Callithrix jacchus: one gene and its partners. The protein of the gene in region 2 purifies or fractionates together with the protein of the main gene of each other region. This does not show direct contact. Links are inferred from orthologs where the notes say so. Each region holds a gene or a part of one and is shown on either strand. Other genes may lie near its edges. The genes, in order: DDX56, MECP2 and YBX1.

Region 1 (3,650 bases), on a different chromosome or scaffold from region 2:
GAGGCAGATGCAATTGGGATAGCCAGTGGATGGGCCAACAGCTAGTGGCTGTGAGGAGAATAATAGTTTCCACACTGGTGTGTCATATCTGCAGATAGGTTGCCACCTAAAAAGATTTTTTAAAACACAGCAGTTGGCCCGACGCTATGGCTCACGCCAGTAATCCAGCACTTTGGGAGGCCGAGGCGGGCGTTTCACGAGGTCAAGAGATCGAGACCATCCTGGCCAACATGGTGAAATCCTCGTCTCTACTAAAAAGTACAAAAATTAGCTGGGCGTGGTGGCGCGCGCCTGTAGTCCCAGCTACTTGGGAGGCTGAGGCAGGAGCATTGCTTGAACCCGGGTGGCGGAGGTGGCAGTGAGCCGAGCTCGCGCCGCTGCACTCCAGCCTGGCGACAGAGCGAGACTCTGTCTCAAAACAAACAGAAAAAATGAGCAGTTAGGGTATACACGCGCTGATCGGAGCACAACCGCTCCACGGCCTCCTAGACCGAGTCAGGCTCTGCGCAGCCGCAGAGCTTCGCCAGAACACCGGAAGCCTAGGCGCCAGGACTTCCGGGAAGTAACGGCGTCTCCGAAGCTGATTGGTTGTTGCTTTGCGCCAACCCCGCGTCAGTGGTATTCTTTTCGCAGGGCGTGCGTGCTGCCGCTACTGAGCAGCGCCATGGCGGACTCGGAAGCACTGGGCTTTGAACACATGGGCCTCGATCCCCGGCTCCTGCAGGTACACGGGGGGGCTGGGGAGCCGGCTTACCGGCTCCACGGGACACACCATCACTCTTCGCACCGCTTGAGCCGCACTCCTGGTCTCTCCTAGGCTGTCACTGACCTGGGCTGGTCGCGACCTACGCTGATCCAGGAAAAGGCCATCCCACTGGCCCTAGAGGGGAAGGACCTCCTGGCTCGGGCCCGCACGGGCTCCGGGAAGACGGCCGCTTATGCTATTCCGATGCTGCAGCTGTTGCTCCACAGGAAGGCGGTGGGTAACGAGAGAGCTGAGGGGAGGAAGGAGGCGAGCCCCCAAAGCCTGGGAAGAGCGGTTCCCGTTTGTCTGAGGTTCTCTCTTGGCCCTGTACCCATGCAGGCTGGCCTGGAGTTCAGGTTACCTGGATCCTTGTCTAGGCCCTGCTATGATCAACTTTTGTGTAATCTTCAACAGAGCACTTTCTTTTCTTTATTACATAAAAAGGGCAATTTCTCTTCTACTTATAGAATTATTGTGACAATTTAGCTCCATAAATTTAAAGTAGCTTCATAAACATAGAGTACATTATTCTTTTGAGGGTCAGTGCTTGGGGAAAATGCTCTGCATTTTGAGGCGGGCAGAGTGATGGATGATCAAAATACAGCTGAGCAGTGTGGCAGCAGATGGGTCAGATAGGCTGGAACGGGTAGAGAAAAGGATCAGGTGGACACAGTGACATGCACTGGTGGCTAAAGTTTTTAATTCATATTCTTACAGACAGGTCCGGTGGTAGAACAGGCAGTGAGAGGCCTTGTTCTTGTTCCTACCAAGGAACTGGCACGACAAGCACAGTGCATGATTCAGCAGCTGGCTACCTACTGTGCTCGGGATGTCCGAGTGGCCAATGTCTCAGCTGCTGAAGACTTAGCCTCTCAGAGGTGGGTAAAAGCAGCAAAGCTGCACCTGAATGAAGCTACACAGAGTTGTGGGGTTGGGTTTATGTGTGGCAAAAAAGAGAGCAAGTCCAGGCTGAGATCCAGCTGCTACGTTCTCCCTGATACTGATGTCTTGCCCACCTTCAGAGCTGTGCTGATGGAGAAGCCAGATGTGATAGTGGGGACCCCATCTCGCATATTAAGCCACTTGCAACAAGACAGCTTGAAACTTCGTGACTCCTTGGAGCTTCTGGTGGTGGACGAGGCTGATCTTCTTTTTTCCTTTGGCTTTGAGGAAGAGCTCAAGAGTCTCCTCTGGTAAGGCAGAGGTGGGTGTGATTCCTAATGGAAACATCTGTGAGTAGGATTTGGGACTACAGTGGGATGGCGGGAAGCCAGTTACCACAGTTAGAGGCTCTTGGAGCTGGAATCTCATTGGACTCTCATTTCAGTCACTTGCCCCGGATTTACCAGGCTTTTCTCATGTCAGCTACTTTTAATGAGGATGTGCAAGCACTCAAGGAGCTGGTATTACATAACCCGGTAAGGGACACCATGGAAGTGGCTGGAGCTGCAGGCATGGGGGTACTCGAAGATCTTGACACTCCTTCTTAGAGGAGCCTTTGGTGTTTTGGGTGGGATAGTTGTCAGTGTCTCATCCCTGGTTCTGAGGCACTAAAAGCCAGTGGTCTAAAATCACTATATATTTCCACGTCTCCATAAGGGATGTCTCCCATTTCAGGCCATACTTGGCCTAAAATCCTGAGCAAGGACATAATGGGTGGCTTTGAGCAGCAGAGCCAAAATTCTAAGGCCAATGTTCTCATCTTAAGTAAACTTTACCTTTCAGAAGGCTGGTTGCTGTAGGCCTTCCCCACTTGATGTAATTCTTTATTGATGTGTTTCTCTTCGTTCTGTGCCTGGAAGTATTTTATATATGGTTCCTGTGGTATACTCGATATACCACAGCAGTTAGGGCATTTTGGGTTTATGTTACAAAACTGGAGGAGACTTAGGGTGCCAGGAATCCTGAAATGCCTGCACTGAAATGTTGATATTTTGGTTGGTGAGTAAGTGGCCATACCATCTCTGTGTTCTCTTCCTTTCTGACCACAGACCTGTCTTCTCCCCAGGTTACCCTTAAGCTACAGGAATCCCAGCTGCCTGGGCCAGACCAGTTACAGCAGTTTCAAGTGGTCTGTGAGACTGAGGAAGACAAATTCCTGTTGCTGTATACGCTGCTCAAGCTGTCATTGATTCGGGGCAAGTCTCTGCTCTTTGTCAACACCCTAGAGAGGAGTTACCGGCTACGCCTGTTCCTGGAGCAGTTCAGCATCCCCACCTGTGTGCTCAATGGAGAACTTCCACTGCGCTCCAGGTCTGCCACAGCCAACATCTTGGTTGAGATCAGTTGAAGATAGAGACAGAAAGAGGACCCAGTTAATGTTCTGTTTCTTAAACATTTAGTAGGGGCCAGGTTCTAGATGTGACTGATACTGACTGACTTCTTCAAACTCCGATATACCTATCGTTATCTTATTTTCAGTTGAGGAAACTGAGGCACAATGATTAAGTAGGGAAAGAGATTAAGAAGAGGAAAAAGAAAGGGTGATAGTTACTATAATACTAGGGATGGCAGAGGGGCCTCACGCTTGCTCTGCCAAGCTGATCCTCTGTCTACTCTTGGCTGCAGGTGCCACATCATCTCACAGTTCAACCAAGGCTTCTACGACTGTGTCATAGCAACTGATGCTGAAGTCCTGGGGGCCCCGGTCAAGGGCAAACGTCGGGGCCGAGGGCCCAAAGGGGATAAGTGAGTCCATGCTGCTTTTCCCATCCCTCCTCAGAAAAACGTGGGTTTTTGTTTTTGTTTTGTTTTGTTTTTTAGCTTTTTGGAAGACTAAAAGCAGAGTGCACAGAGCAGGGAGCCAAACCTTCCAGGCCTGGCTGGTAGTGTGGTGCAGAAAGCCCCACTTGGCTGCCTGGATATGGAGAAGGGAGTGAATGGTGCACACTGCACATGCCTCATG
Region 2 (3,750 bases):
ATTCCCTTCACTCTTACTTTCTTTCTTGAAGCCTTTATCACTATGTGAAATTACATATTAGACTTATTTGTATGCTAGTATGACTCTCCCGGCAAGAATGTTAGTCTGCTGTCTGTTCAGTACTGTGCACCCAGAACCTGGAAGAGTGCCTGGCACATAGCAGGTAGTCAATAAATGAATGGGGGCAGGCAGCCAAATCAGAACCAGGTTTTCTTGCTAAGCACAGAACTAACACAAAGATCATTGCATGGATTGGATAATGACTGGCACCAGGGTAAGGTCCCCTTAACAAACATCCCTGTCCTGAACGCCTGGTTGGCTAACACTTTTTCTATACTCTTATTTTCCCAAAACACAGTTGCTGGATCTCAACTGCAAATCAACTCTTCTAGGAAAGTGAAAAACTGCTGGATCTCAGCTCCCAAATCACATCTTCCAGGAAGACCTAAGTGCAGCTTTCTCTGCGCTCCTTATTCACACCTCCACCAAACCATCTGATCCAACAATGACAGGTGTCACGAGGCCTTGGCATGCACTCTCTTCCCCCGCCAGAGTTCTGCGAAGGCCAGGGTTGGGATTTGTCGTCAGTTTATTCCCCGCCCCTATGAGCGTAAGCACCCGGCAGGCTCAGATGAAATAATGCAACGAGTAGGCCTCTGAAACCAAGGCCCCTCAGCTGGAGCAACGTCAGGCTCCAGGGCGGACAACTTTGCTGCTTCTGCTGAAGATGGTGATATTGAGAAAATGCGGGTGCAATGCAACCCTTTTGCAGCGCACTCGATGCATCTGCGGACAGAGGGTTTGCTTGGGACGCAAACAACGTCCCAAGCCTACACCTTCACTTGCCCCAGCATCCGCAAGGGCCCATTAATCCTTAACATTCAAATTCCGCCCACTAAACCCCTCCGCGCCCAAGCCGCCTCTTTTCCCCAAACGACGGCCGAAAGCAGCCAATGAACAGCTAGAGGGGTCTGCCCTCTTTTCCCTGGCCGAAATGGACAGAAAATCTCGCCAATTGACGACATCACCGCTGAGACTCCCCGCCCCAACCCGGCCGCCCCAGCCAATGACGGGTGGGCTCGCAGCTGCGCCGGGGGCGGGGCGCGGGCGCGCAGGTGCAGCAGCGCGCGGGCCGGCCGGGAGGGCGGGGCGCGACGTCGGCCGTGCGGGGTCCCGGCGTCGGCGGCGCGCGCGCTCCCTCCTCTCGGAGAGAGGGCTGTGGTAAAAGCCGTCCGGAAAATGGCCGCCGCCGCCGCCGCGCCGAGCGGAGGAGGAGGAGGAGGCGAGGAGGAGAGACTGTGAGTGGGACCGCCGTGGCCGCGGGCGGGGACCCTTGCTGGGGGGCGGGGGACAGGGGCGGGACGTGGCGCGGGAGGGGCCCGCGGGGTCGGACGACACGGCTGGCGGATGGCGTCCCTCCTCTGTACCCTCCCCCTCCCTCCGCCGGTGGCGACTCTCCCCCTCGGCCCGTCACCCGTGCTCGCGGGTGACCGTCCTCGGCGCGGCCTCCCCGGAGCCTCCTTCGCCTGGCGCACCTCTTTCTCCCGCCCTCTGCGCGCATCCCGGCCCCCGGCCCCCGGCCCCGCGGGCGCCGCTGTCGCCGGGGCTTCGCCTGTCGGGGCTGCGCGCGCTCCTGCCCTTTTCGGGGCTTTGGGCCGCGGCGTCGTCGCGCGCCCGCGGCCCCGGTCTCTCCCTGGATCGCGCTCTCCCCTCTCCCTCCCTCGCGCGCCCCCTCTCCCGTTACTCGGCCCCCCCACCGGCGCGCGTGCGCACTTCGCCTCCCGTCGGGAGAGTGCGCCACAAGGGCTCCTGCGCTCTCACCCCCATCTCCGGGCTTTGCCTCCCCCTCCTTCTCGCCCATTCCATGAATTTCTGCCCCCACTGCGAGCGAGTCGGTCCGCCGGCTCCTTTCCCCATCTAGCAGGAACAAGTAGGTGGGGATTATTGTCCACAAAAGGGACTAGACATTGTGTTCTGGGTCCCACAACTCATCATAAAGGGGTGGTTATAGTTCCCATCAGGAGCCGTGGGTAGGGTGCTGTGCGTCCAGCAGCACCCGAGGCTCTTCGGCGCCTGAGGCTCTTAGGTGTGAGCGTGTCCTCAGGGTGCTCAGAGGTTCTTTGGGGGTGCTGTGGCCTCGGAATGTGAGCACCCTCCCATCCTACCCCCCCTTCGCCGGCGATCTTCCAGTTACATAAGTGGAGTGGGACATAGTAGGTAACGGGCTCTCATCGCCCTGGAGCGCTCCGGATCACCGGTACGAGATGGGGCAAGTTTATCGCGACGCTGTGGCTACTGTTCATTGTGCCCGAAAGGTTATTCTCTGTTGAGTTTGGTTATGACCGAATCACCCAAACTGAAACTCAGATGACTTTTGTGTGGCAGTGGCAATGTTTCTGTGGTTTTGCACTAAAGACTTAGGGTCATTATGAAGAGTTTAAAAGGATTGCTCTCGAAGGGGAGACCGTTTATGACATTGATAAGTATGGACCCCGAGGGGGAAAAAGCTCATTCTGGAATTGCTCTGTGGGGGTTGCTTCTGTTGTGAGTGTGTTCGGGTGTGGGTTGGTCACAGCAGAAATGGGCTCCACCACAAAATTGATATTCCTGACTCATGGTCAGGCAGATGTGTGCTTCTGGTTATTTTTCCAGGAACAAGAATGGGCTCTGCCGAGCCTTTCACAGGTTGTCTGTATGCTGTGTGGGATCAGTACCCCAAACTGTTGAGATAACAGGATCGAATTCAGGGCTTGGTTGGTAATCGAGGAACCAAACCTACTTGGATCTGGTATTGAGTGGCCTGAACATTGAAGGGCTCTTCTAAGTTATAGGCATTTTGTTATACTGTAAAAATGAAGTATATACGGCCTCGGTAGTATCATTGCAGTCATAGATAATTATCACTCTAGAGAATTTTGGATTCCGTGCCTGGGATGTTCATCTGTGTCTCAGCAATTTCAGTTAATAACCAGAGTCAGCTGACCTCTTGGGTCTTTTGAAATATGCTAGGTCCCTATAATAAGACAGGGTCTGGATTTTTTCATCTTTTGGGAATTTCCACCAAGGATTTAGGAAAATAGGCTTATTTATGGGCTTTTCAGGATTTCTGTTTCAAATCCCAGTCAGGAGTCTAGGAAACACTTGCTTTTATTTTCTTACCTGGATATGTCAGAACCTTAAATAACACAGTCAATCTAGAAGTAGTAAGTACGGTTATTAAAATAAGTCACCAGAGGTCACCCATTCGTGGCAGGTCAGCTAGGTGGCTGATCACTGGAATACAGTCACATCCCCAGGCAGACACACAAGCCTCACTTGATGATCACAGAGTTTGTACATCTCAGCTTGAGACATGACAAGTTAAGGTCTCTGCTTTGTTCTTCATAGTTGGCAGTTTGTCTCCCTGGTACCCCTCCAGTTAGCTGTTTGTCACACGCCTAGCCCTTTCAACAGCACAGGCAGCTTCCAGAGTATAGTTTTCTCTGCAGGGTGCCTGTTGGAGGGGTACCTCCCTTTCCATTGTCCTAACGGCTTGAAGAAAATGTCGAAGGCTTTCTTGTTAGCACTGGCCTATCAAACCTTTCTATTGCCTGTTATTAAAATTTTGCCTGGAATACTTTAGAGTACCGGGTCTTTGTTTCACCTGATTGGTAGGAGAGTATCATGCAGTCAGCCGTATTCTGACTTTTGTGCTGTTGAAATCCTGAGGTAGGTCTGGGGCCAGGCACAGACCACTGTGTGTTCAAAGAG
Region 3 (3,113 bases), on a different chromosome or scaffold from region 2:
ACATGACTGATAATTCCACAAAGCAAGCCAAAGACATCTAACAAAACAATAGAAAACAGCCAGTCTAGACTTAGGCTGTCAGGTGTGGAGAACCACCTAACTACAAGTTGACCAACCTCCATGTTCTTAAGCAGCTTTCCCATGGGTTTTTGTATTATTTATTCCCATTTCTAGGACATAAGGAGCTGAACCAGTATTTGGTGACCACATCAGGCCCTGTAACAGGTTCTCTGAACACTTTAAGTTGGCATCTTCAATTGGCATATTGAAATAAATTCTCCCTAGGTGACAAAACTAAGTGGAGAAGGATCAGAATCTGGCCAGTCTAGACTAGAGCATCCCTTGTAAGCACTGCCACACAGCCAAAGGAACCCACACAAAATCTACACCACAAAGTCTTCCTTAAAAATGGCCAGGTTATCAGAATATGTATTTTCTAATTTTCAGTATGAACCCACAGGCATGCCACTTAAAAGGATTAGAGATTTTAAAGACATTTTACCTGAGGGAATTACCAGTGAGCATCATCTATTTGTAGACTGGGCTAAGGGTCTTATAAATACCTAAGAACTTATAAACTAAAGCAAAACTAGACAGAAATTTACACAAAGACAATTATTTAAGACCTTTATTAACAGGTGCTTGCAGTTTGTTGACTTTTTTGAAAAAATCAAGTTGTAAACTTTTATTACAAATTAAAAATGAAGTTCTTAAAAATCTCAACTTGACCAGATATGAAACAATTTAAAAACCTTTAAAGGCGTATTGAGAAAAACCAGGCTTTTTTAAAAAACACGTTTGTTATTACCAAAAAGAGACATCTTTAGGTAAAAATAATAAAAACCCCATGCTGCATAGATAATGCAGATAGTTCTATTTATCTGGTCAACAGGCAAAAGCAAGCACTTAAGGTCTTCAGCTCCAATCTTTTGTTCATTTCTTATTGCTGGAATTTCTTATTTCTTCTTGTTGGATGACTAAACTGTAAAGAAAAAAAACAAAGATGATCATGTAGAATTCATGGTAATCTTCATTTAATGTAGTACATACTCTAGTTTACATTACTTATATATTGGGAGACATTAACAGATCTTTTGCCACCTAGCAAATCATCTCTGGTTGAATGCTAATTTCGGAGGGAACGACAATCATACACCTCTCAGTATCATGCAAAAAGCTGAATGAAAATGAATCCCTTAATTTTGAAATTTAAGGTTAACAAAAACAAGTGAGCTGGTAACAAGAACGTAAATGTATCATGTGGTCTGCCAGAGCATTATTATTATTAACCTACAGTTTGAATAAACCAACAAAAAACAACTACAGATGATTACAGTGGCTCATGCCTGTAGTCCCAGCACTGGGAGGCCGAGATGGGTGGATTACCTGAGGTCAGGAGTTCAAGACCAGCCTGACCAACATGGAGAAACCCCATCTCTAGTAAAAATACAAAAAATGGGCCGGGTGCGGTGGCTCACGCCGCACTTTGAGAGGCCGAGGTGGATCACGAGGTCAAGAGATCGAGACCATCCTGGTCAACAAGGTGAAACCCCGTCTCTACTAAAAATACAAAACATTAGCTGGGCATGGTGGCGCATGCCTGTAGTCCCAGCTACTTGGGAGTCTGAGGCAGGAGAATTGCTTGAACCCAGAAGGCGGAGGTTGCGGTGAGCCGAGATTGTGCCATTGCACTCCAGTCTGGGTGACAACAGCGAAACTCCGACTCAAAAAAAAAAAAAAAAAAAAAAAAAAAAAATACAAAAAATACAAAAAATTAGCTGGGCGTGGTGGCTTATGCCTGTCACCCCAGCTACTCAGACAACTGAGGCAGGAGAATCACTTGAACCCAGGAGGCGGAGGTTGCAGTGAGCTGAGATCACACCATTGCATTCCTGCCTGGACAAGAGTGAAACTCCAGTCTCAAAAAAAAAAAAAAAAAGATTTTATCCATGTTGCCACTTTACCCAAACAGACTCTGTCACTGTATAGGTTCATTCTAATAGCTATACTACTTCTTTTATTAAATAATGCATAAATAACAATGTTAATTAACTTTTCTCAGAATACAGCTAGGGAAACTTTTCTCAGCTTACTGGTCAAATCACAAAGTTCAGAAAAGTTGATAGAAAGCTCCAATAGTTCAAAAAACTCATGAAAATACAGGTCTCCAGTGTCAGAATTGAGAACTAGCTGAGGGGTGGCCAAATATGATTCTGATACTCAATACTCCTAAAATGAAATATTTAGGTAATTAAGAATAGGGCAGAACACAATGTAAATAACATGGCTTTCGTTATCTGATAGAATTGAGTTTTCCCCACTCTTGCATTAATAAAATGAAATGGACACCATTCATGACTGCCATAAATGGTGGCCATCCAGGGTTGCTTACCCGGATGATGGTAGAGATGGTAAGCCGGCATTTACTCAGCCCCGCCCTGCTCAGCCTCGGGAGCGGACGAATTCTCAGCTGGTGGATCGGCTGCTTTTGTCTCTTTGCCATCTTGTGGTTTAGGGTTTTCTGGGCGTCTGCGTCGGTAATTGAAGTTGCGGCGGTACCGACGTTGAGGTGGCTGCTGACCTTGGGTCTCATCTCCTTGATTTTCTTTATCCTCTTCATTGCCGTCCTCTCTAGGCTGTCTTTGGCGAGGAGGGCCCCTGCAATAAATGTTGTCAAACTTAAGAATGATAAAACCTCTTCTCTTCAACACACCCACCAGCAGTGTTACCATTTGGTTCACTCAACTAATTCATCATGCCTAGCCTGTTCTCTGTATCAAGTGGCCTGTAGGCAATTTGTGTAAGGAGATGGGAGTATAAACTGGAAGATGACTTTTAAAAACTGGTTTTAATGGACTAGCAAACTTTTTTGTTCATAGCATTACAGAATGAATCCTGAAATAGCTAATAGTAGGCAAATGCCATCAACATTTTGCTGTCATTCTAAAAGATCAAAATGGGCTAAGTGGTAAACAAATTTGTAAACAGTATAACCTTTACAGATGAACAATTCCTAAAAAGGCATGTGTTTAAAATCCAGCCTGTTCAAAACCAAACATGTTCCCTTCATAAAAGTAACAGTATACAGCAACCATTTGTCATTACAGAAATGC

The links.
Region 1: the proteins of MECP2 (region 2) and DDX56 purify together in Homo sapiens (affinity purification with mass spectrometry; 3 studies listed by BioGRID and IntAct, with this or other methods). This does not show direct contact. The link is inferred for Callithrix jacchus from reciprocal best matches to the Homo sapiens genes MECP2 and DDX56.
Region 3: the proteins of MECP2 (region 2) and YBX1 purify together in Homo sapiens (affinity purification with western blotting; 3 studies listed by BioGRID, with this or other methods). This does not show direct contact. The link is inferred for Callithrix jacchus from reciprocal best matches to the Homo sapiens genes MECP2 and YBX1.

Annotation. Positions count from the first base shown.
Region 1 is NC_133512.1:12,665,263-12,668,912, reverse strand, and holds part of DDX56 (putative ATP-dependent RNA helicase DDX56), read left to right. Parts: intron 1-633; coding exon of another isoform or gene 634-664; coding exon 665-724; intron 725-817; coding exon 818-979; intron 980-1,462; coding exon 1,463-1,623; intron 1,624-1,767; coding exon 1,768-1,938; intron 1,939-2,072; coding exon 2,073-2,163; intron 2,164-2,753; coding exon 2,754-2,998; intron 2,999-3,313; coding exon 3,314-3,433; intron 3,434-3,650. UniProt on the Homo sapiens protein: Nucleolar RNA helicase that plays a role in various biological processes including innate immunity, ribosome biogenesis or nucleolus organization. Plays an essential role in maintaining nucleolar integrity in planarian stem cells.
Region 2 is NC_133524.1:150,008,753-150,012,502, reverse strand, and holds the start of MECP2 (methyl-CpG-binding protein 2), read left to right. Parts: upstream 1-1,206; 5' UTR 1,207-1,239; coding exon 1,240-1,298; intron 1,299-1,769; exon of another isoform or gene 1,770-1,930; intron 1,931-3,750. UniProt on the Homo sapiens protein: Chromosomal protein that binds to methylated DNA. It can bind specifically to a single methyl-CpG pair. It is not influenced by sequences flanking the methyl-CpGs.
Region 3 is NC_133508.1:79,348,598-79,351,710, reverse strand, and holds the end of YBX1 (Y-box-binding protein 1), read right to left. Parts: intron 2,659-3,113; coding exon 2,424-2,658; 3' UTR 2,393-2,423; intron 983-2,392; 3' UTR 615-982; downstream 1-614. UniProt on the Homo sapiens protein: DNA- and RNA-binding protein involved in various processes, such as translational repression, RNA stabilization, mRNA splicing, DNA repair and transcription regulation.